Struthio camelus: one gene and its partners. The protein of the gene in region 1 purifies or fractionates together with the protein of each later gene. This does not show direct contact. Links are inferred from orthologs where the notes say so. Each region holds a gene or a part of one and is shown in the gene's direction. Other genes may lie near its edges.

The links.
Region 2: the proteins of DYRK1A (region 1) and RBL1 purify together in Homo sapiens (affinity purification with mass spectrometry; 3 studies listed by BioGRID and IntAct, with this or other methods). This does not show direct contact. The link is inferred for Struthio camelus from reciprocal best matches to the Homo sapiens genes DYRK1A and RBL1.
Region 3: the proteins of DYRK1A (region 1) and TRMT61B purify together in Homo sapiens (affinity purification with mass spectrometry, with the first as the bait; 3 studies listed by BioGRID). This does not show direct contact. The link is inferred for Struthio camelus from reciprocal best matches to the Homo sapiens genes DYRK1A and TRMT61B.
Region 4: the proteins of DYRK1A (region 1) and CTBP1 purify together in Homo sapiens (affinity purification with mass spectrometry; 4 studies listed by BioGRID and IntAct, with this or other methods). This does not show direct contact. The link is inferred for Struthio camelus from reciprocal best matches to the Homo sapiens genes DYRK1A and CTBP1.

Annotation. Positions count from the first base shown.
Region 1 is NC_090942.1:122,405,410-122,412,613, forward strand, and holds the start of DYRK1A (dual specificity tyrosine-phosphorylation-regulated kinase 1A), read left to right. Parts: upstream 1-4,193; 5' UTR 4,194-4,213; intron 4,214-4,779; exon of another isoform or gene 4,780-4,952; intron 4,953-7,204. UniProt on the Homo sapiens protein: Dual-specificity kinase which possesses both serine/threonine and tyrosine kinase activities. Exhibits a substrate preference for proline at position P+1 and arginine at position P-3.
Region 2 is NC_090959.1:872,789-880,670, reverse strand, and holds the start of RBL1 (retinoblastoma-like protein 1), read left to right. Parts: upstream 1-4,875; 5' UTR 4,876-4,916; coding exon 4,917-5,054; intron 5,055-5,975; coding exon 5,976-6,109; intron 6,110-7,106; coding exon 7,107-7,307; intron 7,308-7,882. UniProt on the Homo sapiens protein: Key regulator of entry into cell division. Directly involved in heterochromatin formation by maintaining overall chromatin structure and, in particular, that of constitutive heterochromatin by stabilizing histone methylation.
Region 3 is NC_090944.1:123,417,274-123,424,383, reverse strand, and holds the start of TRMT61B (tRNA (adenine(58)-N(1))-methyltransferase, mitochondrial), read left to right. Parts: upstream 1-4,101; 5' UTR 4,102-4,116; coding exon 4,117-4,602; intron 4,603-4,680; coding exon 4,681-4,783; intron 4,784-7,110. Other genes in the region: WDR43 (WD repeat-containing protein 43), read right to left, coding at 3,515-3,757.
Region 4 is NC_090945.1:79,520,078-79,527,375, forward strand, and holds the start of CTBP1 (C-terminal-binding protein 1), read left to right. Parts: upstream 1-4,285; 5' UTR 4,286-4,393; intron 4,394-7,298. Other genes in the region: E3 ubiquitin-protein transferase MAEA, read right to left, coding at 3,459-3,527. UniProt on the Homo sapiens protein: Corepressor targeting diverse transcription regulators such as GLIS2 or BCL6. Has dehydrogenase activity. Involved in controlling the equilibrium between tubular and stacked structures in the Golgi complex.

The DNA of each region.
Region 1 (7,204 bases):
TACTCCGTTTCTTTGATAAAAGAGAAAGTAAGTAGGTACACCTCTTTATTTTATTTATCACTGTAGCCATCTGTCATGCCTTATCCTATTCTTCTTTTAGATGACAAAATCTATATTTTCCTACCCAATACCAATAATAACCATCAGTACTGGAACTCTTTGTTTCGACTGCATACTTTCTGTGGTAGTCCTGTACCTTTGGAAGCTCTTGGATTCTCTAAGTTCCAGTCACAGCCATTTCTATACTGGTCCTAAGTCTACTTTGTTCATAGCATAGATATAAATGAAGACTAAAAATAGAGGAAAACAGGAAGGATTATATTTTTCAGTGTAATCATACTGAAAGACAGGCAGAAAGAGAGATAGTCAAGGAAGGTTGACTTTAAATTTCTGATTAGGATAGTACAATGCTTTGAATGTTCTATATTGCTTCACTTTGCACTTATTGAACTTAGAGAACCTTGTACTGTTTTGTTGTTTCTTCTGCATTTGTTCTGTTTTTCTAATCTGTCGTATATTTTTTCTCCTCTTTCAATTTTATTTCTCTCAGATCTTATTTCTCCACACTGTACTCTTTCCTCCTCATTTTTCTTTTTAGGTACTATTTTTTCTTATTTTGTCCTCAAGTTTTCTGCTTATTGTTACTTTTTCGACCCAAAATATACTGTGTGTTCTAAGGTCAGAGTGTCTGTTGGGCAGAGAAAACCAAGTATTTCTTAGGAGGAAGTCTACTTGATTATAAAGATGCAAAATCCTGTTTTAAAGTGTGACACTGAAACGCTGTCTAAACCATCCTTAGGTTTTTGACGGAGAGTAAAAAATATTGCAGAACTGGGAAGAAAAGGATTATCAGTCTTTCCTCTCTCAGTCTTTTCCTCTCTCTTTCCTTTTTTCCTAAAGAAAAAATTGTAAGATGTAGTAACTCCTCATTATGTGGAACGAAGCAGAAGTTAGCAAGTGTTTGGATCCCCTTCTTCTGGATCAGTCTCTCTCTTACATATTCTATTTCAACTACTTCTTTCCAAAGCTGATCTCTTAGGAGCTCTAGGTCTCTTGCTGTCTGTGTTTACTTTTGGCCTATTGCATGGAGTTCACCAGCAAACTCAGCTAATGTATACCCTCATCTTCTATCCCTTATTCCCCCTCATGTCTGTCTGTGGAGTACCAATGTTTCAGTTATTCCACAACAACCATTTGTGGGATATGTTACATAACAGATCAGGGAGCTGATCTGGTTTTAAAAACAGAAGAAAACTTAACTGCTTGCAAGCTGAGAGTCTCTGCTTGGAAGACCGTCACTTCCCAAACGCTAGACCCAACCTTTTCTCTACCTGCAGCACAGAAGAGGACTTCTAGCTACTAGTGATGAGATAAAGCTCTGTCCTACTACCAGCCTATGTGCTAGCTTTCCAGGTGGGCAGGATTTTGGTATAATCCCAGCCTGGAAGGCCCTAAGATCTCTAACCCTAGACAACTTACCTGCAGTAGAAGACACAAGACCTACTCCCAATACATATGGGCAGACAACTCCATCCTGATGCCAGCTCTCACCCTAGATCTGTGGCTGGAGCAGGATTCTGGTAGAATTCTAGTTCATGGGGGCCTTGTTCCTTAATTTTAACCATTAACAGCTTCAATGCTTTTGAGCTGTTGAGTTACTGAACAAAAAATTTTGTAGACAGTTTGTGTGTGTATGTATATGTGCTTTTAATGTAATGGACATTTAAGAGAAGACTATTGTACAAGAGAAGAATAGTGTAGGTTATTGATTATCAAGATTATAACAACAAAACAAGACTATGTAGTTGTTATATGCTGGGCAAAAACAAAAAAAAAAAAGGCCATCCCCTTATGTCCAATAGGACACTTCAACTTTTTCCTACACGCTCTGTGTGTTCTCAGCTCCAGTTGCCATATACCCATCTCTGCAAGCTTGGCTATAGCCAACAAAATAAAAGCAGAGGATTACAGAGCAAGTGCACAAATGCATGAGAATTCCGTAATCTGTTTAAGCATTAGCCAAAAAAATTATAAGTTGTTACATGCTGTATAACATAATGTAATATAGTAAATGCCACAGTATGTTTGTATGAGCTTTGTAGCTACCCACACTGAACAACAGAGCTAATCTTCCATTGCATTTTTCTGCTGCTCCATGTCACCATCCAGAGTAGCAAGGAGATTTTAGCAAGATTTACAACATCCTGATGGGGACAGACCTCACTGTCACCAGCGTATGAGCTGCCCTTCCTTAGAGGTCAATTGGACTGAGCTTACGCAAGACAACTAATGCTTTCTAGGTATTTTTGATTTCTTGTGCAATATACCATGCACGCAGATATCTTAGGACAAAATATGACAATATTAACATGGGAGTCTTTTGAGCAGAAGCAGGTGAATCTGTATGCCTTTGTTACACTGCAGAATATGCATGTTGGCTTTCCTCATCCTGGGGTAAGAATTGCATTCTGATCATATTCTAGGGAAGAAAGACGTGTAGCTTAAAGTGACCTCTCAGTCTTTCCAGGAGTGAGGGGAATGAGAAATGACTGCTTAAACCCACTTAAACCATGCTGCTCCTGAACACCTACCATGGCTTTAAGGTGCAATTTCATGGATGACTTAACTTAACCTAACCCCATGCTGTTACTCAATGGGCTGGTCCCAGGCTTCCCTCTGCCGTGTGTTCCTGCCCTATCCTAGCCGTACAAAAGAGGTTTTCCTGTTTTCTGTTTTGTCAGGGTCGGTGTGTCAATTACTCTATGCTAGCACTCCTGTTGCTGTAGAAAAGACACAGAGGGACTAAATAGCTAGAGGTGGAGAGGGTGGACTGCTATTTTCAACAGCAACAAATTCTTAGCTCAGTTGAACTGCTTGTAAAACTGCATTTGTACAGCTATGGTTAGATAATTGGGGACATACTACTTTGGCTGTTACTGCACCTACCTTTAGCTCTGAAATTCAGAAAGAAATAAGGAAACAGAAGAAGAAAAAGTAATGGCACAAGTGTTAGTAGTATGTCCTAATTTCTTCAAGGGGCAAGGCTGACTGTGAACTAAAACAACAAGGTTAAAAAAAAAAATCAGGTGTCAGAATTAAAATACTAGATGAAGGCCACATTTTACTTTTTGGATCTTCATGGATGCTCCTGGGGGAAAAACAAAAAAAAATCCCTAGCGTAGATTTACATTAGTAGTATACGTTCCTAATTCCGGTCCGTAATAAAAAGTGGAATTAAGTCTTCCCTCAAGAACCCAAGGCTCCCTTCCCCACCACATACCCACAGCGTGAGTGCCACACGAAGCAACACCTTTTTAAAATATTTATTAAAAAAAATGAATATATCTATATTTAAATACATCTTTCAGTGCGAGATGGAGAGGAACCCTGCGCCCACCAAGCCCCCATGACAGCCCTCTCCCAGCTCCGAGCAAGGACACCCGCGGCCACAACGCCCCGGGCGGCCCCCGTCCCTGCGGGGGGGCGGCCAGGCTCCCTCCAGAGCCGCCCGGCCCGCCGCCGGGTTTAGCCCCTCCGCAGCCGGGCGGGCCCCGCCACCTGCAGGCCGGGGAAAGCCCCGCCGCACCCGCGGCGTGGAAGCGGCTCGGGCGGAGAAGCGCGCGGCTCAGCGCGAGGCAGCGGCCGTTACCGTTACCGGCCTCGCGGCGCGAAAGGAGCGGCCGCTGCCCCTCCCCCACCGCCTGGGGCCCCAGAGCGCCGGGGCCATCCCGGCCCGCAGCGGCGCGGATATCGTCACATGCCGGAGAGGCGCGGGGGGGGGGGGGGGACGAGGGGAGGCGGCAGTTGCCCCGGCGACCAAGCCCCGCCTTTTACCCGTCGCTCTCTTCCCCACCCTCCCCACGTCAGCGGCTGTCTCCCGCCCGGCCCGGGTGGGGCGCAGGGGTAGCGTGATTGACAGTTGCCATAGTAACAGGCTCGCCCTCGTCGCCATTTTGTCAGTTAGCTTTTTTTTTTTTTTTTCAAAAAAAAATCCCACCCTTCCCGCCCGAATTGTGGAAGGTTTTTTTTTTTTTCCCCTTCCTACCTCCACTTCGAAAAAAAAAATTATCAAGCAAGAAAACGGAATTCCCTCCCCCCCCCCCAAAAAAAAAGAAAAAAACAACAACCCAAAAAACTGTCTTGGAGGGCCCGGCGGCGGCAGGCGAGAAGTTCGCCCCACGCGAGCGAGGAGAGGCTCGAAGCGGCGGCAGCGGTGCGGTGCGGGGCCGGCGCAAAGCCCTGGCGAAGCCGGTTCTGGAGGGAGGGGGGAAGAAGGAGGAGCGGGCGGGGAGGGAGGGAGGGGGAGGAGGTAGAGGCTGGCAGGCGGGGGAGGGAAGGAGAGAGGGAGGGAGGGAGCGAGGAGTTCCCGGGGGCTCGGTACGGCGCTGCGCTTCCCCCCCCCATCATCCCCTCCTCCTCCTCCTCCTCCTCCTCCCCCCGCCCGCTCGCGCCCGCCCGCCGCTGTCCCCGCGCTGCCTGGCCGGGGCTCAGGCCGCCGCCGCCGCCGCCGAGCCGAGGCCGGGCCCTGCCGTTGCCGCCGCCGCCGCCGGGCGCTGCGCAGGTTTGGAACGCGCGCCATTTTGTGAGCGATAGAAAATCCAACCCGGCCAGGAAGCGTCGCGGATCCGCCCGCCGGGCCGGGCCGGGCCCCCTCTCCCTCGCTGTCCGCCGCCCGGAGAGGAAGGCGCGCTGCGGGCAGCCCCCGCGGCCGCTGCTGCCCCCCCCCCGCCCCCCCCGCACTCCGAGCGGCACCGGCACCGCCGCCAGCCGCGCGGGCCCGAGCGCGGCGGGGCGGCCGGACTGCGGAGCGCACAAGAGGGAGGCGCTGCCGTGCCGGGGCCCCTGGCCGAGGCCGGGGGAAGCGCTCGCTCCTCGCTCTGCGTGTGCCCGCCGCCCGGGAGAGGAGGCCGGAGCCGGGCGGCAGCCAGGGGTCCGCCGCCCCCCCCCCACGGGTAAGTGAGACGCCTCAGCCGGTGGCGGGGAGCTGCGCAGCGGGACGAGCTGGTGCCACCTCCCGGCCCGGCGCGGTCGAGGGGGGCGCAGCGCAGGGGGCAGCTCCGCTGCCATCTTAGAGAGAGGAGGTGGGGAGAGCGCAGGGGCCCGCCGAGCCCCCGGCCGGAGCTGGCAGGGCCCGGACCCGCACCGGGCTTTGGACCCGGCCTTCCCGCCGCCTTCCCTACCGCTGCCCCCTTCTGGGGAGGGCCGGGAATGGCCGGGGGCAGTGCTGGCGGCCTCTGCGCGGCTCGGAGGCGGCGGCCGCCTCTGCGGCCCTTTTTCCCCTCGGCGTGTAGGGGAGGCTGTCGCTGCCGGATTGGGAAGCGGAGCGGCGAGGAGGGTTGCGGGACCGGAGATGGAGGAAGGGAGTTTGCCTGGCTTCTCTCGCTCTTATGCGCAACGCCCTGCGGTGGGCGGGTGCGAGGTCTCGCCCCGGTCTGGGAGCAGGGAGAGGGGGCGAGGAGGGTGTCAGGAGTTGAACAATCAGCTGAGCAGGCACCTGTTGTGGTGGAGGCTTTAGGTGCCCCTGCCTGCACCCCTGCAAGAGACTCGCGTGGTAGGTGGGGAACTTGGAGGCCGATGAAGAAGGAGTACCTGTGTATGATTACTGTCATCTGGGCTGGGGGTGGGGTGGGGTGGGGAAGAGGGGAGAGAAGCATTGGGCATATGCACACGGGCATACAGGTGCTTCTGTATTTTAGTGGTTGCCTGCAGTCTTGTAGGAATTCAGCTTTGTGTTGCTGAGGAAATTAGAGACTGCATCTGAAACATAGAGTGTGCTCTCTGTGAAGTGGCATTTCCTCCTGCCCCCCCCCCCCCCCCCCAGAATCGGAATACACAATTAAAAGAACTACAATTAGGAATTTTGAAATGGGTGCGTTTTTGAATCTCAATCAGCTTTGAAGTTTTCAGTTTAGCCTGTCCAAAGACTATGCAGGGGTTCTTTGATCATGTGTCTAGATTGCTGCTGTTACTTGGTTCTCCTATTACTCCACAGTTATTGGGGGAAATAAACATTCATTTTTCTTTAAAATTAACAGAGAGTATCTGACTACAAAATAAATCAACAAGCATGTTTTTGACAATCTACCATTTTAATCATGAAGAGTGTGTCCTGTTAACTTTTGCCAGTAGGCACATGCAGTCACTTTTACATGAATATAATATCCCAGAGATCTAGATAGGTAGAATTTAATTTTTTATTATTTTATTAGTATTTCAGTGTCCTTTCCCTAAGAAAAGGAGTGTAAAACTGAAGAATACATCAATGATGTCTGGCGACAAATAGGCAAACATTTTGTTTGTAGTAGCATTCAGTTATCTGCCTGTAACTGTGTATAATTTGACTTCTGTCAATGGAATAGTCTGTAGGCGTAAGAAGTTTTGGAAAAACTTGTTTCTCCTTTTCTTGCCCTTTACCCTGACATCTGTAGATTAGATATTTTTGGAAAATTTTACTTAATACATTTAAAATAATAACACTGAAATTAATTTTGAATATGAGCTGGTATTTTTCTGTTAACTATTAGCCAGATATGTTTAGTGAACTTTGGGGGGGGGGGGTATATAGATATATACAGAGAGAGACTACTTTTGTAGGATATGCTTAATGTTTTTGGCTCATATGAACTATTTAGAATTACAACTTTTTTATTTACAGTCTGAAGTAGAGCGTGTTGTGTTAAATTTACATTTTCTTCTGTGAATTAAAAATTCCGGCAAAGTCTCCAAGACTTAACAGGTTTAATTCATTGATTTTGAATATTCTTTGAATAAAGTAAGAAGTCTGTCTTGTTCAAAATTGAATACAGAACATAGTCTTAAATCAAGAAAGAGGACAATTCACACTCTTAAATTATTGTGCACCCATTATAATTGTTTCGAGGCTAATAGAAAGTTTTTTACATCAGTAACAATGTTGAAGTTACTGACTCAATACTTAGGAAGATTTTGGACTTGTCATTGGAACCCCCCTCCTCCCATGTTGGACAGTTGCAGAGAAGCAGCAGCAAGGATAATTTTACCAAATAGCAGCCAAGAATTTTCAACGACAGTTTATGAGTAGTGTTCTATTACTTGTGTAAAATAATGATGTAGTAATCAGGAATTTATCAGTTTTTAAAGTATATGGGTTTTGTTGAGAGTGGGAATTTACATATGATGCTCATAAATGACTTATCGCACCCATGTTAAGTTCACACGGAGTAAC
Region 2 (7,882 bases), on another chromosome or scaffold:
CTCGTGACGTGGACAGAAGCAGACGGAGCAGCGGCTTTGAGAAGGGGATAGCAACTCTGGAGAATTAGTGGTAAGAGAAATCCACTCTGTCACCTCTTTCCCTTCCTGTGCTGTCCACATAGTGCCCTTTTCAGACTGCGTAGCTGGCCCAGAAGCCAGTGGGGCACCATCCTCCACTTCCCGCTATGTGAATTTTGGGAACTGGCAATTTCACTGCACACCCAAGGGTAGCTCAAGACCATCAGTGTGGTGCTAAGCAGCCGTTAATAACTGGAGAATCCAGCTCCTCTCAGCCCAAAAGGCATAAAGTAACCCAAGAACTCCAGTCCAGTAGAAAATCAGTTGCATTTCCCTGTCTCACACCGTTTGCAATCTAATTTGAATTTAACAAAAGGGGACTGGAATGGCTCAGTTTGGCACAATTAAGTGGCCTCTATTTGTCAGTGCTCTGGATAAGCACGATACGTTAGTGATTTAGCTTGGCATTCCAAGTTCCAATAACTAGTCTAGGTGAAGGTATCGGCTCATACAAGAATAGCACCATCCTTTGGGGAATTCTCAAGGAATAGCCCCAGTCTGTGTTGCAAGAGCATCTGAGAAGAGTGGGAGTCTGCAGCACATGCTCTGCAAAGTGTTTTGTCATCTGTCTTGGCTCCTGCAAAGCATTTGACCAATATGTTTTTCATCTGACAGGTATCTTGGATATGTTGTAGCAAAAAGAGGCGTTTTACAGGAATAGCCTCTACCATTTAGAAAGACAAATTTTAAAAGCAAAAGCCCCCACAGTGACTAACTTCATTTTTTGAGAAAAAGAACCCAGATTTCTAATATCCGAGCAGATGTATATATCAAACAAAAGAAAAACTCAGGTCCCCTCATAGAAGGCCTTTCCTTCTGCTTCTTTGTACCCGGAGGAATAAATACGACTGTGGGATTCTGATTAGTAAACTGCTTTATCAGAGTAAATGCTCTTCTCATATATTTTCATGGCATTCAGTTTTTCTTTCTCTGAGAGCAAATCTTTTTCAAACATATGTAGGTGCTTGGATTAAAGCTAGTATTTAGGTTAAGCAACAGTTTCAAAAGCCTCCAAGTTGAACCGATTTTCAGTGAGAAACAGGCTCTACTATAGCGTGGCTCCTTTTTTACCCAAAGTACTGACAGCTTTAGGTAACTAAAGACTATTAACTCTTGCGTGGGAACAATCTATGTGGCAACTGCAAACAAAGTTGTTGCGTTGCCATTTGTGTGTAATTCCTGCTGCAGAGCTAGAGCGACTTCTCATAAAACGGTGCCTAGGCCTCTGCACTCTGCAGACGAACGTTTCAATAAAAACTAAAGTCAGCACCTGTTTGCTTTAAATTGTCCCATCATAAATTAGGGCAGGTCAGAAGCTGCTGTGTGAGCTTCCTCGCAGGGGGTCATTGAGGCTGGTACTGCTGAAGCTGCTCATGAACAGCAGTTTCACGAGTTAGTGAGGAAGAGCGTGGGAGGCACTCTTAACATGATGTGGAAGCGCGTCTGCTGGACCTGACTTAATCAGGCTGGTAACCTGCTCTAGGGGTGCTGGGGCTCCAGAGGTGCCCTATTCCAGCGCATGAAGATGTATTTTATGCACCGGACCATTTACTGTTAAAAACACAAGTAGTCTTGAAGCAAGGGGCTTGAAAGACAGGTCTCCTCCTTCCATCTCAAATGGGTATTTTAGCTCCCAGCTAAAGAAGTCATGCTCACTCCACGCTGTCTCCAATAATTTTTTTGTCACCTTATAAAAGGCCGAATACCTGTAACTGGAACCTTTGGCTCGGAGGGTTATAAATGTACTTTTACATGCCTAATGGCCTGCAAAACCCTTACATGGGGTACAGGTGTGCTGCGCAGCATCACCCAGTATGGGGACTGCTGCTGCCCACCGCAAGGCAGCTGGGAGCCAGCACAGCACTTGAAAGCCTGTATGGGGATAATATATTCCCAGCAAATATTTGGAGTGCTCTGAAGTACCTCAGCCATTAGTGCTATTTTAATGCTAACAGTCTGTGACTAATTAAGCCAAATTGGCAATTTTGTTCTGCCTCTGAATTTCCACTTGAACTAAATTAAAGGGAATTGATCCTATGACTGAAATTTGATTAGAACGCTGAGCTTCAACATCTTAAATTTAACATGCACTCAGATCCACTGATCCAGCGAAGTATTTAAGTACATGCTTAACTCTAAAGCTATGAATAATCCCACAAATGGGAATAACTTTCAAAAACATGTTTATAGGCACCGCAGAACAGGGGCTGAACGCTTTACAAAGTAGGTAACTTGTGCTCAGTTGAACGATGGGAAACTGGAGTTACCTGAGCAGTTTTCCAGTTTATATCTCTACTGAGGGGCCAAATGCCCTCATTCTACTTGTAAAAGCGACTGAACTTAATTGGATGTACCATAAATGTTTGTGCTGCAGTACTTTGAATTGTCAGCACTGATGCGGCCAGATACTGAACATCCCTCAGATTCATTTCTCTGATCGTGGTTTCACTTCCTTCCTTGCCTGTGACCATCCCTCCCTCACTGTCCTCAGCAGCTCTTCCCTCTCTTTCCTGTAAGCCCCAAATTCAGCTGCAAACAGCCCCAGCCCTCCTAGCCCCCCTCCTCGGCACGCGCAGCCCTCGGGGCAGCCTGCGGAGCTCACCCCGCGCCCACCTCGTCCCCCTTCGCCCGCCGGTTTCTCCTGGTGCAGCACCAGCACGGCTGCTGGGAAGAGCGGCTGCAGCTACTGTGGCTTAAAATCGGCCTCATGAGTTTAAGTCACTTTTAAGGAAGCTTTCAAACAGGACAAGCTGTCCAAACCCTGAGACGTTTCTAACTTTCTTTTCTAGTCTTCTTTCTTTTTGCTCCCTAAAAGCCGCCCGCCCCTCTCATTGGAAAGTTAGTGCATCCTCCCCTGCCTCAGACTCCGGCCCTGGTTGCAAGCATGGCAAGCAGGGCCCCCGTGAAATGACAGTGTTTTCCTGCTTTCCTGAACAGCGGCTTGGACACAAAGTCTGTGGTTTTCTCAGTGGGCAGAGAGTCAACAGTAATATAGTGGCTCACCTGTCCCTGTGTGGTTGCCTGTCCCTACCGGCTAACTTCTTAGGTTCACTCAACGATAAGGCGTAAATATGCTTGTTATTTTAGTTCTTTCAAAATTATTAATCGTTCCCCACAGCGGTAATAGTACCAGTTTAAACCCAAGGTGGGGTATACAAACAAGGATGCGGCTCAGGTCTCTCAAACGGTTCATTTCGTATCACAGCGAAGGTGACGGCATGAAATACCCCTGGAGTTTCGGCAGGTAAAGAGGAGAAGACAAAGGTCAGTGGGATCACAGGTGCCCCAGGATCTTTGCCATTTGAGAGCAAAGGGTGTTAGAGAGAGCGACTGCAGCCAGCCGGAAAGCCCGGCACGGAGGCGTCTCCGCACAGCAGCGTTACACCGAGACCGGTGATGATGAAGAAGGAAGAAACGGTCTTGCTGTTTGGCGCAAACTTGCCCGCGCGTTGTGCTTCCGCTTCCACGGAGAAAGCCTCAGCGCAACCCCGGAGCGAAGCGCAGCGCAGCGCGAGAGGACACCTGCGTTCCACCTTCGGCAACGAGCGCCAAGCTGCTCTGATCTCCACAGAGCGCGCCTGCCAGCCCGGCGCTGCGGTGGCGCGGCAGGCCCGTCCCGGGCGGCGTCGGTGGCCGGCCGGGCCCCCGCCGCCCCCCGTCCCCCTACGTGTAACCCCACGTTCGCAGGACGGGGGCGGGTCCTGCGTTTACTTCTGCCAGCTGTTTCGCTGCACATTTGCTAGAAAATCCCTCCAGTTTGAGGCGGATTGCCTGGCGCCCGTTCATATCTTGATGTTGGGAATATTTTTTAAAGTCATCAACTGTTTCTTGCTGGTCTTTGTAGTCAGCCCGTTTAAAAATAGCACAAACAGCTATCGATGAATGCAGCCACATCAATGCTGAAAAATAAAGCGATCTAGCCAGCTTTCCACAGCAGCGTCGTTACCAGCATTGCCTGCTGTCACGAGGCCCCAGAGAGCAGGAACCGCCGTCCTGCCCTGGGGACACTCTGCGGTTCCTGGCCGAGGAGGCTGAGCGCGGCATCTGCCAGACGCTACCTGCTGCCCTCCCGGCCCACGGGCCGGAGATGCTGCAGGTGGCCAAGCAGTCGCGTCCCCCCGGCAACTCCCCAGCCCAGCCCCTCTCCTCCCCTCCGATCTGCTGACAGCTGACTGCAGCAGCTGAAAGCGCCTTTCTCGTCCGTCACATCCCATTTTTCTCCCTGGGGTCACAGCTTCCCAGCAGCTTAAGCCAATTAAAAATCCTTCCGCGCCCCACCACCCGCTCCCCGCCTCGGCGCTGGCAGTCGAGCAGAGCATGGCCGGCCGCTTTGGGGGCTGTATTCAGGCAGAGATGAGCCCAACCAAAAAAAAAAAAAATTGTAACAAGATCACGTCCCAGAACCAGCTTGCCGCAAGACCCTGTGAATGTGGGACCTGCCAAAAAATAAATGAATGAAAGGAGAACGAGAGAGAGGGCAGAACGTTTCGTTTTGATTTTAATAATACCGGTAATCGGGAACCGGTAGTCCTCATTACCTCGATAACAAACAGCACGTTAACACTGTTTTGCCTTAAGCTGCCACGAAACGACATCCTCGTTTTGCGAGCAGGTAATGCAGCGGCGGGCACAGAGCGGCGGCCCCGCGCCGGGACGGGCTGCGAGCGCCCCAGCAACCGCCCGCCTCGCCGCCGGGCCCGGCCGCCGCCCCGCCGCCCGTTCCCGCCAAAAGAGGGCGGGGCGCGGCGGAAGGGGCCGGTCCCTTCCGGGTGAGGGGGAGTTGGCGCGCGGGGCCTGCGGGAGCGGAGCCGCCGGGCCGGGCCGGGCCGGGCCCCGCCATGTCCCGCGCGGAGCCGCCGCCCGCCGAGCCCGGCGCCGCCGTCGAGCGCCTCTGCCAGGAGCTGAACCTGGACGCGGCCAGCGCCGCCGAGGCGCTGCGCGACTTCACGGCGCTGCGCGGCACCTACAGCCTGGAGGTGAGGGCGGCGGGGCCGGGCCGGGCCGGGCCGCGCCGCCTGTCAGCGGGTGCCGCGGGGGCGGCCGGCCCCGCCGGGGCGCGGCGCTTCGCGCGCTCGTCGCTGCCCGCGGGCCGGGCGCGCCCGGGGGCACCGGGACGCGGTGGGTCGGGGCGGGGCGGCGGCGGCGCGGCCCGGCCCGGGGCCGCTGTCATCCTGCCGCCGCCCCGGGCTGCCGCGGTTGGGCCGGAAGGAGCAGTTCGGGGGTTCCTGTGGCTCCGACTCGCCGTCGCTTGTGAGCGCTAGAGCGCAGAGGCCAGTGTGAGCTCGTCAAATAACAAATGAAACAGATTTGCACGCCCAGAAAAAGCCGCTGCTGGTAGGAGCTGATTCGGCTGTGGCTGGGTGCTGAAACCGCCCTTTAAATTTAGGTGGCAAATATGCAGCCAATACACTATTCGTTTATCTCCTAATCCCTCTTCAATGGGAAAGCGTATTGCAAAAACCTGGTCTTAAGAACTCATTAGTTCTACTTGAAATTCGTTTCTCTTCAGCCACATGGGCATGTGCTTACTGTAATCCTCAGTTAGAAAATATATCCGGAGGAGTCTGAAAGATGTCAGCTGTTGCATTAGCCTCGGTGGCCAAATTACACTGTGTACTTTTTGTTTTTTCTTTCAAAAAATACATCCTCTGCCCTCTCTATTATTGCAAGTTGAATGGAAAAACAGAACAGTAACCTCCTTGTGTATGTGTATGCGCATAGATATATGTTTTTGTATAAGTTCCGCAAAACGTGCGGAGAAGAAAGCCCTCCAGCTCCCCACATGCTGGTTCTCGTTATTGTCACCAGAGGTTTTTGGAGGCTCTGTAAAGCTGAGGTGTAAGCTGAGCGCAGCCTTTCCTGGCTCAGCAGTCTGGTGCCTTGCTGTGGTTTGGCAGGGAGAAGTTGTCCATTGGCTGGCATGCGCTCTGTACGTCGCCTGCCGCAAGAGCGTCATTCCGACCGTTGGAAGCGGCCTTATGGAAGGAAACTGCGTCTCGCTGACCAGGATACTACGTTCGGCCAAATTAAGGTTAATTTTTTCACGTTGTTACTTATTGTGGAAGTCCCAGAATCTGACTCTTCCAGTATGTAAGGTAGTAATTTATTGTTCCATTAGCGTATGCTTAGTAATTTAGGCACCCAGGCTTTTATTTTTGTCAAGACTCCAAGCACTGCAAAACTTGCATGTCCCGAGGTAACGTTGTAAAAGCAATAAATCCTCTTTCGTTACAAATGGAAATAAGATGCAAATACTTTTTTTTTTTTTTTCCCTCCGAGTTCAACTTCAATCCTTTGAAAAACCACCCACATCAGACTAACAGTTGTTCCACCCACAGAGTTGGGTTTTTTCTTTTTGTAGTTAATTGAAACACAATTGAGACTTCTGAATGTTTCATTAGTAATCCAGATAAAACCTGTATTTGACTCGGGATTTAGGCCAAATTGCCAGATTCGGTCTTGACTGCTATGTCGTTTGGCGTTTTTGGGGACGCAGAACTGCGCGATTGCATAAATACTTATGTGCTTCAAGGTTTTTCCAGTAGATAGCTCTGCTTACATAGATGCTGCCACTATAATTGTAACCAATGATATAACTGAAATGAATGAATTTCATGTTCCATTTAAAGAACCATTTTCAGCTGGACTGCCAAAGGGATTTTTGCCGCTGTAATTACACCTGCATTTAATGTTTTTTTGTCTAGGTAGCTTTGATAGGCATGGACTCATGTTTTTGTTGCCTCCCCTCCCTCCCCCTTAACAGTCGCGTAGCTATGTACGCTCTTTCCGTCTGTAGCCCTCCCTTAACCAGCGTTGCTGTGCTGGCAGCCTTTGAATGCGAGTAAGGTTTTTCCATGTCTGTGGCTTCAAGAGAGTCAAGAGGAATAAATACAGAAGCTAAAAGCTTCCAACGTGTACAGTTTGGCAGTGCATCAAAATAAAGGCATTTTGCCTTGGTCAGAAATTCACAGAATAAATACACTTAGTTAAAGCTCAAAATAAAACAGATTTTTCTTTTTTCTTTGAAGTTTAATTCAGTTTTTTAGCAAAATGAAAAAGTGGATGGACATGTCAAATCTACCACAGGAGTTCCGAGAGCGAGTAGAGAGGCTGGAGAGAAATTTTGAAGTGTCAACTGTGATTTTCAAAAAGTTTGAACCAATATTTTTGGATGTATTTCAAAACCCTTACGAAGAAACTTCTAAACCACAACGAAGCAGGAAACAGAGGTATTTGTGAGGCTTAATGTGACTTTTCCCTGGAAAGGGCTACCTATGGTACAGCTTTACAAAAATTAAGATCATGTTTTGTGCTTTAAAAAGTCCGGGAAGGTTCTGAAGTGGTAGGGTCACTTTGCTTTGTGGCCTTGACTCTGAAATGCAATGAATAAAGAAGGACCCCTCCATCTTGCTGGGATAGTGCTGATATGAGCAGAGCTTTTCCTCTGTATGTTGTTTCTGCAATTCACTGTAGGATTCGGATATTGGCTTGTAATGAGAATGTCTCTGTATGATGGGAAGAGCTACAGTGAGATAGATTAACTCCCGCAAAGAGCAGTACTGATGATGTTTAGCCAAAATAACTGAAGTAATACAGGGGTATTTTGTCTTGGCAAAGTACCTCCTCAGGTAGTTGATGTCCTGAAATAATCCGTCTGTACAGTCTTAGCTGCCTGTGCTGAATGGGAAAGCATTTCCAGTTCCGTGGCTTTGGATGATCTCTACGCCAAACTCAATGCAGGAGAAGAAGCTGTAATACAAGTAATAGTTGCATGTGTTGAAGGGATGACTGATGCTTTGGTAAA
Region 3 (7,110 bases), on another chromosome or scaffold:
ATGGGGTGTTGCTACCTGTCATACAATAGGCATAGCACAGCAAAAGTAAATAATTTTTACTCAAGCCCATAGACATAATGACAACCAAGCTTTAGAAGCTTTCACCACAGCTCAGTTTCAAAATTTTAACAGTGCAGGATACGTACTTTGGTTCTCTGAGGAAACGGGAACTTCTCCCGCGCATTCAACATACACAGGCAAAATTTTCCAAAAGAAAAAGTGATTCATTTTAAGCCAATAAATAGAGAAATGCCATGTAACTATTTTTACAGCAAAAGCAGGCTCCGGAGAAAGGAGAGGTCACTCTTTTTTGCAAGTATTTGTTTAGACTTCATCTTTCTGGGAAAGGAAAAGTGTTTATAAAATATAGCGAAAACACAGGTGCCGAGAAACCACTGCAGTTGCAAAGTACAACCAAGTGAATCAATCAGGTTTTAAGACAATATACAATAAAAGATCCATGCATTACACAAACTAGTTAAATTTTTGCCAGCTGAGCCATCCTGAAACAGTTCTTTGACATGCAAAAGCAAGGACTGCAAAGCCAGTGGAGATGCAGGTACAGCTTTGTCTGAAGAGATCTGAAAAGTATCAGAAGTTTTACCAGTTACTCCTGCCACCTCCCCATCCCCTTTTGCAAAGCAAAAACACAAACAAGAACAGATTTTCTTCTCTTTCTTTCCACTCAAGTCTTTAACTAAAATTCAATTGCTCTCCTACCAGTTCCACTTGTTATGGCTGATTTCCCTTGATACAATCCAAAAGGTATCATCACACAGCAACAAAATCATATGGACGTCCACAGTATTTCCAAAGCCAAGGAGAAAGCTAGGAGCAGTGAAAATTTTTTGAAAGACTCTTTTTACATCGTATTTCTCTATTGACCAGCCTTTATCAGCATTATTAATTGGGCATTTTGTTACAAAATTTTGCTTCAAAGATCTATCAGTGGGAAACGCAGACAGTGTTGGAAAGGTCTCAGAAATACACTCTGAGTACTAAGAAAGGACTCAAACTCCTTTCTTGACCCACACTGGATAGTGCTTAGATAGGCTTCTTGCAAACTTGCAGCAGAGATCCACGTGGAACTCACCTGTAGATCAGGGCCTTAAAAATAAGAATATCCAGCTTTCATGGATAGGGTGTGGGAGCTTAACTATACCAAGTGTCAGTTACTTTTGAATTTTCAGATTTATGGAAACTTAACGTATTTAGAATTCCTTCAACTTCCACCGAAAAAAAGCATAGTATTTTCATTAGTAAGAAAGGTTAAAATTAGTTAAAAGTAAAGGAATCACGCACATGATCTTTCATAATGTTCCTACTAGAGTAGGGCAGACATTGACATACAAGACTTCACCCCCCGCCCCCAAGAAACCACATCCCTGCTGCTCAGGTGTAAAGTACAGCACTTAAAACACTGCAGTGGGGACGGCCCTGAAGAACCTTAGTGCTAAAGATGACAGAGCAGTTGTAACTTCTCACAAAGAAGCTGGAGCAAGCTATTCTGAAAGTCTGATGGACCACACACTGCTGCACCAGGCACCAGTTCATAGAAAGGGAGATCGTGAACATGACAAGCAGGAAGCACTCACACAACTAAAGCACGTGTGCGGGGAATGTCCCAACAAGCCACCACAGTACCAGCAATTCCAGAGCCCGGAGTTCAAAACCTAATTTCTAATATTCCCCTCTAAAAACATGGTCTTCATTAACATGCCAAGAGTTCAAACATACATAGTTTGAGCGCAACTTGGCCAAACACCATTTCTAGATATCTACTGGTAGGTAGAGTGTTACTCCTGAACATCAGATACTAGTACTAGCTACAAAGCTTTCAACTCTCCAGCAAAAATAAAAAAGGACTAAATAATGTTAGAAAAAACATATGCAACACAAGGTATTTGACAGACCCATCATACCCATTGCTTTAGCTCTTCAGCTCCGTCTGAGGACAAACCAATGAGTAATGAAAGTATATGGCATACGTATTCTAAGACATGGCATGCATTCCAGTTCCCCTTGAAAATGTACCAACTTTCAGGCAGTTGACAGTGTTCACACTACGGGGATGATAAAGAGCACTGGAATGTAGCCAAATGTTGTCTGATGAAGCCCCTTCCTCACGCAACCCTACACAAAGGTTAAACTGAAGTACCTGTGACATTTAGACCCCATCTAGAAAGGGATGAGTAGTTTTCAAGTCACTCAAACCTCCTGTGCTTACCTACTCTGCTTACCTAGGGCACCATGTTAGATTTTGAAGGCGTGCTACAGATGGTATAGATTAGCCCCATTTTCATATGCAAGTTTCACTTTGGACACAAGAAAGAGTGCAAAAGAACCTACACAGCTTTCCAATTTCCAATTAATTTCCAGTTTTCCAACTAATTCAATGCATTTATCCTTTATGTCCCCCCCCCTTCAGAGTTACATTACAAACAAGTAGGTTTAAGAAAGGTCAGCCTAAAACTAACGGACTCCACCACACGCTTCAGATGCCCTTTTAAAGTTTAGAAGTTGAGTTTCTGAACTGATAAGAACAGAACAACGCAGCCTTCCTTCACATCGGTCATCTCTGAAGTGCTTAACGCATTGTACTTGTTACAGTATTTCCAATATACTAAATTGTCTATACACCAAAACACTTTCAGAAGTCCTCAGTCACCGTATTTCTGATGACAAAGAGGGTGGATTGTGCATACTCTATCCAAGCGACACGCTACGCTCAGGAAACGGTATGTTCTAGCTAGCGAGAGTAAGACTATTTCAGCATAAACAGGATCAAATGGCATCTTACTGAGCTACCCTCTGGCTATTTCCAGGCTGACCGCTCATTTCAGTTAGCGTTAAATAACGCAAATTCCACCTGGGGAACTCCCAAGCCCTCCGATGAGGGCCCAGAACAAAGTTACCCCGTACCTCCGCGCCGCGCTCCTGTGCTCTGGGAGACTCGCCGCTGACGCGCTAGCAGCTTGCACGGAACCACCTCCCAGCGGAGGCACGGTGTGTTTCAGGGTACCTGAGCCGGGCACAAGCTAGCAGCCGGGGAGCGGCATCCCGCTCGCTCTCTCACGCTACCTTCGCAGTGAAGCCAGCGCCAGATAAAACAACGTACCTTGCTCCGCCAAGGAAGGGCTCTTCCGCGCGGGTTACGCGGTCAAGGCGGCTGCTGCCGAGCTTTCGGCGTGTTTGCCAGCTAAACAACCCTCCCCCCACACACGCGCGCGCGCCCCGGCCCCACCGCGGGACGCGCCCGCGGCCTCCGCCGCCCCTCAGGCCGCGGCCTCGGCCGCGCACCGCGAGGCGCCCGGGCGCCGCAGCTCCGCGCGGCCGAGGCGCTTAGGGGGGGAAAAAAAGGAAAGAAAAGGGCAAAGAAGGGGAAGGAGAGGAAAGGAAAGGCAAACCCCGGCGCCGCCGCGGCCCCGCGCCGCCACATGGCGCCCGGAGGGCGGGGCGGAGCGCAGCGGCGCGGCCACGCGGGCGGCCCCGGCCCCCCCCGGCCCCGCCGTACCTTGTGGGGGGGCTGCCGGCCGCCCGGCGGCGCCCAGGCCAGGCAGGTGCAGGCGGCACTGAGGTGGGCCGAGGGCACGTACTCGTGCTGCAGGCGGCTGCCCGCCGTCTCCCACACGCGCAGCCGCCCATCCGCGCCGCACACGGCCAGCGAGCGGCGGTCGCCGGGGGAGAAGGCGCACGGGGCCCGCGCCGCCGTTGCCGCTGCCTCGCTGCTGCCGCCGCCGCCGCGCGCCGCCGCCATGGCGCTCCCGGCCCGGCCCTCGGCTCCGCGCCGCTCCGCGCCCCGCCGCGCCGGCGCACCAGCGGCCACGTGCTCGCGCACCGCGCACGCGCGACCCCGACCCGACCCGACCCCCCCCACCACCGCCGCAGCCGCCGCCGCCACCGTGGCGTCAGCGCGCCGCGCCGCGCGCCGGAAGTGACGCTGCGCCGGCGCACGCGCGCCGTGTGTGGTGGAGACGGGCAGGTGGGGGGAGCTGCTATCCGTGCCGCCGCCGCCGCCGCCGCCGCCGCCGCCGCCGCCGCCCGCAGCCGTTAGCGGGGGCGGCTCTCAGCTCGCACCTCCCCCCACACCCCCCCCAGCGCCTCTCGGCCGGCGCCATGCGGGCCTGGCGCGGCCTGCGGCGGGGCCCCGCGGCGCCCTCCGGGCCGGCCGCCGCCTCCTTCTCCTGCTGCCCCGGCGGCGGGGAGCAGCAGCAGCAGCGGCGGCGGCGTCGCGCCTGGGAGACGTCCCTGTCGCCGCTGGAGCGGCTGAAGCGGCTGCTGCCGCCGGAGGTTGAGGCGGCGGCGGCCGGTCTGGACGCTGGCCCGGCGGGCGGCGCGGGCCGCGGCCCCCTGCGCCTAGGGGAGCTGGCGCTGGCGGAGCTGGGCCGCGGGCAGCGCGGCGCCCTGCGGCTGCTGTGCCGGCTGACGGCGGGCGCGGCGCTGGCCACCCCCCGCGGCCTCCTGCCGCACGACGACATCGTGGGGCGGTTGCCCGGGCAGGTGGTGCGGGCGGCGGGCGGCGGGCGGCTGCTGGTGCGGCGGCCCTCGCTGGAGGAGTACGTGCTGCTCATGGCGCGGGGTGCCGCCATCGCCTACCCCAAGGTACCGCCGCGCCCCGGGCGGCCGCCGCGTCTGCCTCCTCCCGCAGGCTGGTAACGGGGCGTGCTTTGTAACCCGCAGGATGCGAGCGCCATGCTGATGATGATGGACCTCCACCCGGGAGACACCGTTTTGGAAAGCGGCAGCGGATCCGGCGCTCTGAGCTTGTATCTGTCAAGAGCAGGTAAGGCCCTAGGTTAAGCAAGCGTAGGAGCAACGAATTTCTTCCGTCGCTTGCTGCTTTTCCATTCATCAAGATCTTGAAGTCTGTTTTTCAGGCTTTGCTGCAGTTTTCTTATTTGTATATACTCCATTGACTTAAGGTAAAATTAGATCTGTATCGATCCACTTCCTTACCTTTCTCAGTTTCCCTTTTCTCACTTTGCTGGACCACGTGAATAATCAGCGTGTTGGCGTGCTGGGTGAAAACATCTACATGGACACACAGTGTTGTTTCATGTTACACCTAACCTGATTTGATCTGGGTGTAGGTGCTCTGAAAGGTAGAGAGCCTTGGGCCATGCTGTCCTGCCCTCTCCCTTGCACTTCTGCCGTCTGAATCTGTTAGTTAGCAGCTGGTTTGGAAAGCGAGTCTGGCTGAAAGCTATTCTTTTCCTTCCTCTAGATCGTAGGTTTAGTTTCCTGCCAGTTTCACTCCCTGAGTAAATTCACTGCAGGGTCACAGGAGAGTTGGCATTTGCAAGGGAAAGTGGCAAGCAAATGTGATTGGGGTAGTAAAGGAGCAGAACTGCTCCTCTTGGCAGCACCCAACTCTTAGGTGAGTTTTGTTCTAATGGGAAACTACACCCTTAAACTTCATCTCGCCTGCAGTCATCCTGTGTAGTGCCAGTGGACCAAACTGCAGAGTAATTTGATTGATGGGCTCCTGATAACTTCCCCAAGAAAAATAATTTGGTATTGATTTCTTTGTTTGCTGCTACTGTTTTTGCTTACACCTGAGCATTAAAGTATCGTTTGAATCTCTTCCAAACTGGTATTCTAAAAATTATTTCTGCTGATGCACGATACTGCCCCTTCCCTGCACCGTTAAAAGGAGCTATGAGGGTAAAGCCAGGAACCCCATCATAGATCATCTTAAACTGGTATAACCAAAAAAAAAAAGAAGTGGAATTTGCATATCCTGATGGCTATGTTCAAAGACAGGGTTTGTGGACAACCCACCATCGCTATAACTAAATACTTGAAGTTGCCAGCCGTGGTCACTGAACCTGAGAAACACCCACCTATCCTGAGCTTATGTGAAACCTCAACACTTTTTTTTTTGTGTGTGTGTGTTTTAGCATTTTTCACCGTTTGGTTACAAATCAGCATTATAAATTATGCTATCTTTTTAAAATGTTTATGGGTTGAGCTGTTTTTGTGATCAAACTTGGTATCATTCAACACTTCCAGATTAAAAAAAAAACCCACTTTCTAATACTTCCACTTCTAATACTTTCTAATATCTATGGGAAGTGATGCTTTCTCTCCCGCCTTCTCATGCGAGAGACAAACTGAACAAATCACCTTTTTTGTTTAAGGCTGTTAAATAACCTTAGAACGTAAGGGCAGTGAATTCACTTTCTTTTACTCTCCCAGTTGTCCAACTGTCTTTCTACATAAGTTCTGGGATAACAGCACAAGTTGTCTTAGCAGCATCTTCGGAGGAAGCTTAGTATTGAGCAAGTATGTTACTAGGGCCACCTATCCAATTCTCTTCTGGGATGCCAGGATGTATTGCTGAGGATAAAATCAAAGTTAGGAAGAGTTATGCTCAGTGAATGGTACAAACCAGAGTGCTGAGATCCAGCCGCAGCTGAAAATGGGCGTATCTGGCAAGGGCACACCAGCAGCAGAAAAAGGGAATCTGGAGGACTCCCTGCTGGACAGTTTGTTCTGCTCAGTCCAATTGTTTTAGCTGCAGTAAACTTTGTCTGGCATCCCAATTCAGTTGGAAACACTATTTGAATGGTAAGACATTAAATGCTGCCCCAAACTCACTCAATTGCAGGTCGTCTTGATGTATGTTGGGCCCAGGTTTTGAGGTTAGCAGTTCTGCCTCTGGTCCGTCTCCCTCCTTCCACCTCCCACTACTAATCACAATTTCTTCCTATCGTCTTCATATGATATGTGTTTTTTTCTGTGATTCCATGGTGGGATTTTGAAGATAGTATGCCATCATCCTCAAAGCAACCTTTGCTGCCTTGGAGCTAGAAACAAACAAAACAGAAGAGGAAAGTCACCACTTTACTTTCCGGAGATGTATTTGGAGAGAGGGGAAATAGAGCCATTTTCATCTTCTCCCATCTTCCTCTATGTGCAGACCCTACATCCGAAGGAAAAGACATACCTGTTGTTTGCTAATGCAGAAGTTAGCTTTTGCTAAATACAGCAGACTAGTTACTACATTGGATGTTCGCTACACTGTGGCCGTTTCATACAGACTCACCTGCACTTGCAGATAGTTTCTCTCCTTTTTCCGTGTTGCCTAATGGGTTCCTTCTGACTGCT
Region 4 (7,298 bases), on another chromosome or scaffold:
ATACCTGATAAAAGGTAGTAAAGAAAACAGAGCAGAACCTTCTCAGTGCCAGTGAAAGGATAAGAGGCAGTGGGCACAAACTGAAATACAATTAATTACATTTAAACACAAGAAAACCCTTTTTCAGTGTAAGGGCGATTGAACACAACATATTGCCCAGAGAAGTTTTGGAGCTTCCATCCTTAGAGATATTCAAAATCAGAGTGGACAGGGCAAAGCCCTGAGCAACCTGCTCTAGGTGACCCTGTTTTGAGCAGAGGATTCGGACTAGATGATCTCGGAGGTCCCTTCCAACTTCAGCTATTCTGTGAACTCAGCTCAGAAACAATGTACACTTTATCTATTCATATTCTCCTATCTGTTCCACTCTGTAGCGATCAAATAAGTGTACTTCCAGCAGAAATTAATATTGTATTAAATCTGCTGCCAGTATTTTTTTCTTCCCACAGCTGCCAACCCTAGAAGCTTACCAACAGCTCTGAGAAGGTGCTCAAGTATCCTGTGCTTTCTTTTAGATCAGCTGCTTTTTAAAGCAACTGCAGCCCAGCTAACCCTAAGCTGTTACCAATGAACAGCCCAGATAAGATTATTTTGAGGAGTGGCCATCCCTGCTTCCAGGTATTCCCTCTTTCAGTTTTACTGAAAATGGGTTTTACTCCATTGTTTTTGCTAGTTCAGTTTAACAGTTATTTATGCTTCTAAAGATATGGACAAATTCTCTGGCTTCCTGTCATCACTTCTTTATTAGTGCTTCAGCAAAGAACAGGGATAACAATGTTAGCATTCATTTATTTTCAAATCGTAGACTTCCATGTTGTATGCTTCCAGATGAGACTAGCATAATTTCTAACAGTAGGCTTTTTTTCCAGAGCACTGTGGAAAAACAGCTGATAACCTTCTTGTCCTTGACAAAGCAGTAAGGATTTTGGGGGGGGGGGGGGGGGGACAGAGAGAATATGACAATAAAACATTCAAGTATTATTCTGTATACTTAAACTGCTTCCCTAGGTTCAGCCAAATTCACTGTTCCTGAGCTGAATTACTAAAGAATGGCTGAGGCACTTCCACTTCTGAAGTGACCACAATTCAGCTATGGAAAAGGGATTTCCCTTTGCAGTTTTAAGCACTCGTTCACATGGAAGGCACTCTGTAGAACATACTGTAAATGCAGAGCTATTACACAACTATTATCTAGTGATGCTGGCATGAGGAAGTTAGAGGGAAGAAACAGGAAGGATATAAATACAAGTCTACAATCTTTTATATTTTACTCATATCATGGAAAAATACCAATGTCCAAAGCTCTAAGAAAATATCTTAACTACCACACTGGTAGCCATTTAAAAAAAAAAAAAAAAAAAAAAACATTTCACACAAAGCATCTGAATAAACTAGAAGCTCAGAGGCCTAGTCCCTGAGAAACTTTTAGGCACTTGCCTCCTACAGAACTGAGTGGGATTTGATATCAATATACTTTTATGGACTTCAGTCCTAACGTTCATTTCCCCTGCTGCCTTTTCACCTTCATCACTAAAATGGTTTGACATACGACCCACTGCTAGAAACATTTAAGAGGATACATTCAAAAGATTTGAGCAGACTTTGCTCTGGGTTTTTTTTTTTAAAACAACAACAAAAAAGTCATTAAAGGCTACAGGAACAACCTAGAAGTTGAATGAATGTTGGAAAACATCAATAGACATCACTTTTCCTAGGAAATGGGTTTAAGAGTTTCAGTACAAGGGTGTTTCACCCTTTTGCTATTTAAATGTTTAATTTCCCATCACTACAAGCCACATTCCATTCTCTTATGTGTGTTTTGGTTAAGATCTTTGAGGGAAGAGCATGCCTGGGAAATATAAGAATATGTCCAAAATAATCTGTACCTTTTAAATGGCTGGCACCTTGACAACTCATCTAAAGTCATAACCAACAAAACAAAAACTCATTGATCCTCACTGCCAGTAATTTTTCAGGAATGTAACAAGCAAAGCTGTGATAACAACTTGCACGCATCTAAAATGCGGCCTTACAATGATCTTCTTACCATTAAATACCTTCACATTGTTCTGGCTGTGGAAGTACTAGAACACTCTTCAAAGCTATTTTAAAATTTAAGCCTGATATTGTCAGCTTCAAAGCACTTGAAGGCAACAGAAAGAAGCCGTCATACGTAAAACGGGAATCAAGATTTTGTCCTTTCCCTGCTTCTTGGAACTAAGCAGATCGAAGCAGAGAGGGTGGAGAAGGAGGGCATGCACAGGAAGAACGCTGCAAAAAGCACACAGTACTTTGTGGGTGAAAGTGCAGCATGATCTCAGCAAAAAAAAAAAAAAAAAAGTTTACTTTGCATAAACACCTTCTATACATGAAAAAAACGACGATATGCTGACACAAAGGATGCTTAAATAAGTCTTTTGCAATACAGAAGCCTTCTCCTGTCTCCCTCCCACAATCACCGCTATTAAACAGATTTGCTGTATATTCAGCAGAAGACTTCAGACAAAGCTTTCCACTGATTCCTATGCGCATCATCCTTCCAGTTCAACAATTCTTAGAAGCAGTGACCTTAATGCTCAGTGCCGAGTCCTTCATTTGCTTTACAATGCCTAGCTCAAAGCGAGGACCAGCTACGCAGCAGTCTTGGGAAACTACCACCCTTCAAACATTCTCAGCACCTTAACAAACACCCCATGCTTTTACCAAAGCTCTGTCCAACCCTAAATATTTCGCTTACTCGTCCCCACAGGCCTCCCGCCTTCCTCCAGCATGTTTGTCCCTTTATATGTTTTAGCTCATCTCCATCTTTGGGGAAAACCAAGAAACCAGGGAACCATATTCCACTACCACCTCCACTCCCTCCCCTTTAACACGTCTCTTAACAACGCCACGTAGATCCAGCTAATCAGCCGGGACGAGCATTTAGAGCAACCCTCGGGCTGAGAAACCGTGATTCACACGCCCCTACACCCCCTGCCCCAGCCGGACTCCATCCTCACCCCTCACCTCGCCCTGTCACCCCAGCTCAGCCGTGACTTGCCCTCTCCCCCCAACCCCGAGCAGCTCCGCCGGCTCTCGGTGACCCCCGGTTTTGTGGCCGGTGCGGCTCGGGGCCTTCCCCGCTCACCTCAGGGCACGGAGGCCCCCGGCAGCAGCAGCAGCACCATATTCCAGGCACGTCCCTCACCCACGGCGCAGGGGGAAGGGGGCGGGGGGAGGCACAAACCGCGGCGCTGCGAGCCCCGAGGGCCGGCGGCGAGGCAGAGGGCGGCGGGAGAAGTGCGTGTGGGGACCCGCCGCCGCCCCCCGAGGGGCGCCTGAGCCGGGCAGCGGCCGGGGCGGGGGAACGAGGGGGGGGGGGGCAAGGCCGCCGCTCCCGCCCCGCCGAGACGCTGGCCGAGGCTCGGCCCCTTCTCCTCCGTGCGTGTGGCGGCGGCGGGGAGAAGCTCGGCACCCACCTTGAGAGTGGGATACTCCTGCACCTTCAAAGTCATTGAGAGCTGAGCAGCTGATTCCTGCACCGCCATCTTGGACTAGGCATCAACCTCCTCCCTCCTTCCCCGCCCCCCCCCCCGCCCGGACCAAAGGGAGCTACCTACAGCGCGCGCGGCATGACGGGCAATAAAGGCCTTCCTCCTCGCCATCCCTAATGGAGACGGGCCGAACCAACGGTGCTCGCTCCTGCCGCCGGCCCGCCCCCCTCTCCTCTCTCCCCACCCCCCCCGCCGCGTGGTACGCTCCACGGGACGGTAGTGGCGGAAGAGCGACAGCGGGGCAGACAGGCGCCAACCAATGACGGCGGGCCTTCTGCACGTTCCTTTGACACCGCCTCCGCGCTTGAGATGCCACGCCTGATTGGGCAAGCTGTGGAAATGGGCGGGACCGACCGGCAGCGCGGACAAATCAAGTGGGATGACGCCATGCCTCCGGGCGGGACTTTTAGTGGTGATTGACGCGCAGCCGCCCAGCCGCGGTGGAGAGGCTTTCCCCTGGCCCAATCAGAATCTCCTGTAGCCCAAAGTGGGTGGGACCTAAAAAGTAAATTTCGATGGTGACTTAAAACGGCCGTTATAACAACCCCCCGAGGTGTCCGGGAAGGAGAGGGGCGGGACGAGGGGCGGGGCCTATGCGCAGAGCCACTTGACAGGCAAGCGGCCGAGCCAATGGTTTCGCGCAGCCCAGCTGACGGGCACGGAGTCGAGCGAATGGGCGGCGCGGTTGGGGCGAGCGGGCGGGGCGGCGGCGGTGGCGGCGGCCGGGCGTGCGGGCCGTGTGTATATTGGCCGGGGGGAGGGGAGGGGGCCGGCCCCTAGTAAGTTCCGCGGGGAGGAGAGAGCGAGTGAGAGTCAGTGAGGCGGAGGCGGCGGGAAGAGGTTTAAATAGCGGAGACAGCGTGAGTCCCCTTCCCCTCAGCTCCCTCTGCCCGGCTCGCAGCCGCCCGCCTCGGTTTCCCTCCGCCAGCCCGCTGCGGAGCCAACGCTGCCCTCCGCGGCGGGGAGGCCCCGAGGGGCCGCCCTCCCCCGCCGGCTGCGGCCGGGCCGGGCCGGCGCTAACTTTGCGCAGCGGGGCGGGAGCGGCTCCCCCCCCTCCTCCTCCTCCCTCTTCCTCCCCCTTCCCTCTTCCTCCGCCGCCCGCCTCGGCAGCCGGGCTGGTCGCGCCTTCCCTGGAGGGCGGCGAGGGGGGTTGGCGGCCCCCCGGGCCGTCGCCATCGGGGAGCGAGGCCGGGCCGCCTCCCGCGGTCCCCTCAGGAGGGAGGAGGCGGCGGCGGCCACCGGAGGAGCCGCCCCCACCGGCAGCTGCCGCGCCGCGTTATGGGTTTAGATTAGTGATTTTCACCTACCTCCCCCCCCCCCCAACCGCTTTCGCTTGGCCGTTTCCCGGCTGTGTTTGGATGGAGTCGTGGGTCTGCCTCTGGCCGGCTTAACGCTGCTCGTTCGCCCCGGTGACAGCTGTGCGGTGCCTCAGAGGGGTCCGCAGCTCCCCCAGGAGTCGCCGGGTCACGGGATGAAAAGGACTGGTTTAAAGGAGAAGTGAGGGTGCTGGGTGTGTGTGGAAAGGGCCTGATCCTGCCGACCGCCCCGACTTTATGTGTCTGAGGGAATAAAAGCGCTCGTGAAACTGTTGGCTTCTTTGCAGCACCCGGCATATGAGGTTTTGTATTAATCCTCAGAGCGTCGATATAAAAGTTAACGTGGAGAGGGAGGTGTTTTGGGGGTTCAAAACCGCATGACTTTCGTCCTCCTCTTTGGCATCCTGCGCGGAGTTTCTCACCGCCTTGGTGGGTAAGACGGAAGGCGCTGTGTGAGCGAGACCGCGGAGGTGCTGGGTGTGCAGCGCAGCACCGCAGAAGGGGTGACGTACCGATCGGAGGTCGCGCGTGGAGCGCTGCGACCTCCTTTCTGATGTCGTCGAAGCCAGCGACAGAGTTCCCCTTTCTCGTGAAAGTTCTCGCCTTGGTGATGGGCTATGCTTTAGGTAGTGTGCTTTTGTGGGTTAAGGCTTTAAGAAAACCCCTAAACCTTTATACACTAGTAGCTGTGATATTTTTGTTGTCTTTCCTAAACTTTGTGGCTATGTTGCTTCTGGACTGCAGAAGACTGTAGAAAAAGAAACACAGATATTTCCAGAAAGGTCAACACACTTTGATAGTTTGAGAGAGCAAGGCTTCTTTAACTAAGACATGTTTGTAGAATATTTAGTAACGTTCATTTCTAATTTACATAGGGCCAGTTGCACTGAAAACATGTATCTGGCACAAAGGGCTGATGGTGAATAAAAGAAAATGCGTGAACTCCTGTAGCTGAGTGTTCCCTTCAGATCTGGACTGCAAACTGTCTACTTGTGTTTACTCTGAGCTGCATTGCTGCCCTAGCATTGTCTGGTATTGACCATAATCAGCAAATGTATGCCTAAATGTAATTTGCCAAGCCCACACCAGGTGCAAAGCCTTTGTTTAAAAGTATATTGGTAAAATCATTTGTATTAGTTGCACCTGGGTTTGACATTCATGCCTAGACATGATCTTGGGGCCAGATTCTGCAAGAGGATTTGTGTAAGGAGGATTTTGACTCCATGAGGGTGCTGTGCAGGGGATGGTTTACCTGATCTCACTGAGTGGAGGACTGGAAACTTAGTTCAATTGGTGCTGTGTTTTGCAGCGTGCTTATGTAGCATTTTAAGATCTTCATATTGTATTTGCGTAGTCTATTTTAAATAGTCTGTAAATAGAAAATGTCCTTCTAAATATTAGCTTAATATTCCATATCATTAATGTTACTAAACTGCTTGAACTTGGCACTTTTTAACTCTTTAGGCCCATGTGTAACATTGGTAGTGATTGAACATGTGTGCCTTTCCATGTAATTTACTAAGTTGTGTATATTTATGTCCAAAAATCTTATTCACATCATATTTTTGATGGGTAATATCCTCAATGGTGCTCTTCGATAAGAGAGTAGCTAATTTAATGTAGCCTAAATAAGAGATGATTCCTTTGGTACAGTTTTGTGCTCAGACTGGGTCAGTCTTTACAGTGGAGAATTATTGGTGAAGGTTTGTCAGACATTAGTAGCCAAAGTTGAAGGGTTTGCCTAATGGAACAGATGGCCAAGCAACCATCATGTCAGAGAAAACAGCATGTATTCCATGTATTCTTAGTTTAACACAAGAGGGAGCATGTCTAATCTTTAACCTTTAAATATTGCAACTTCAGAAAGGAAGCTTTAATTGCTGAGTATCAACTAATTTATGCTCTAGGTTGCGTGTGCAAATATTGATACAATTTATGCATATTTTTGGCATATTTTCAACATTAGGTCACAGCTGTTGATTTATAATACAAACGTTGTCATGGTGAATGTGCAGATTACAACTAGGCTAACGATCTTCTGAACTTGTTACAATTTGTAGTTTCCTGATCAATTTAACAAAATATTTATGGTTATTGTAGGGATTCATAGAGATTATGAATCTCTATTTCAGATAGAGAAATAGAGATTTCTCTTTGTATTTTAATGTTAGATTAATTAATATATTTCTTCTGCTTAACCTACCATACAAAGTTACAAAGCCCGGGTTTAATTTAATGTAGTTAAATTACCAATTTAATTTTGCTTTTACAGCTTTTGTAAATTCTACTGCTTTATCCTTAAATAGGAAATACAAATTTTCATCTATTGAGAAGGTTTACATACCATATTTTGCTTTTTTTCTCCCTGTCCCCTAGTGGTGTACAAGAAGGAATAACAGTCAACTTCCATTTTGTATCTCTTGGCGTTGTCCAGTTGAGCCATAGTCTA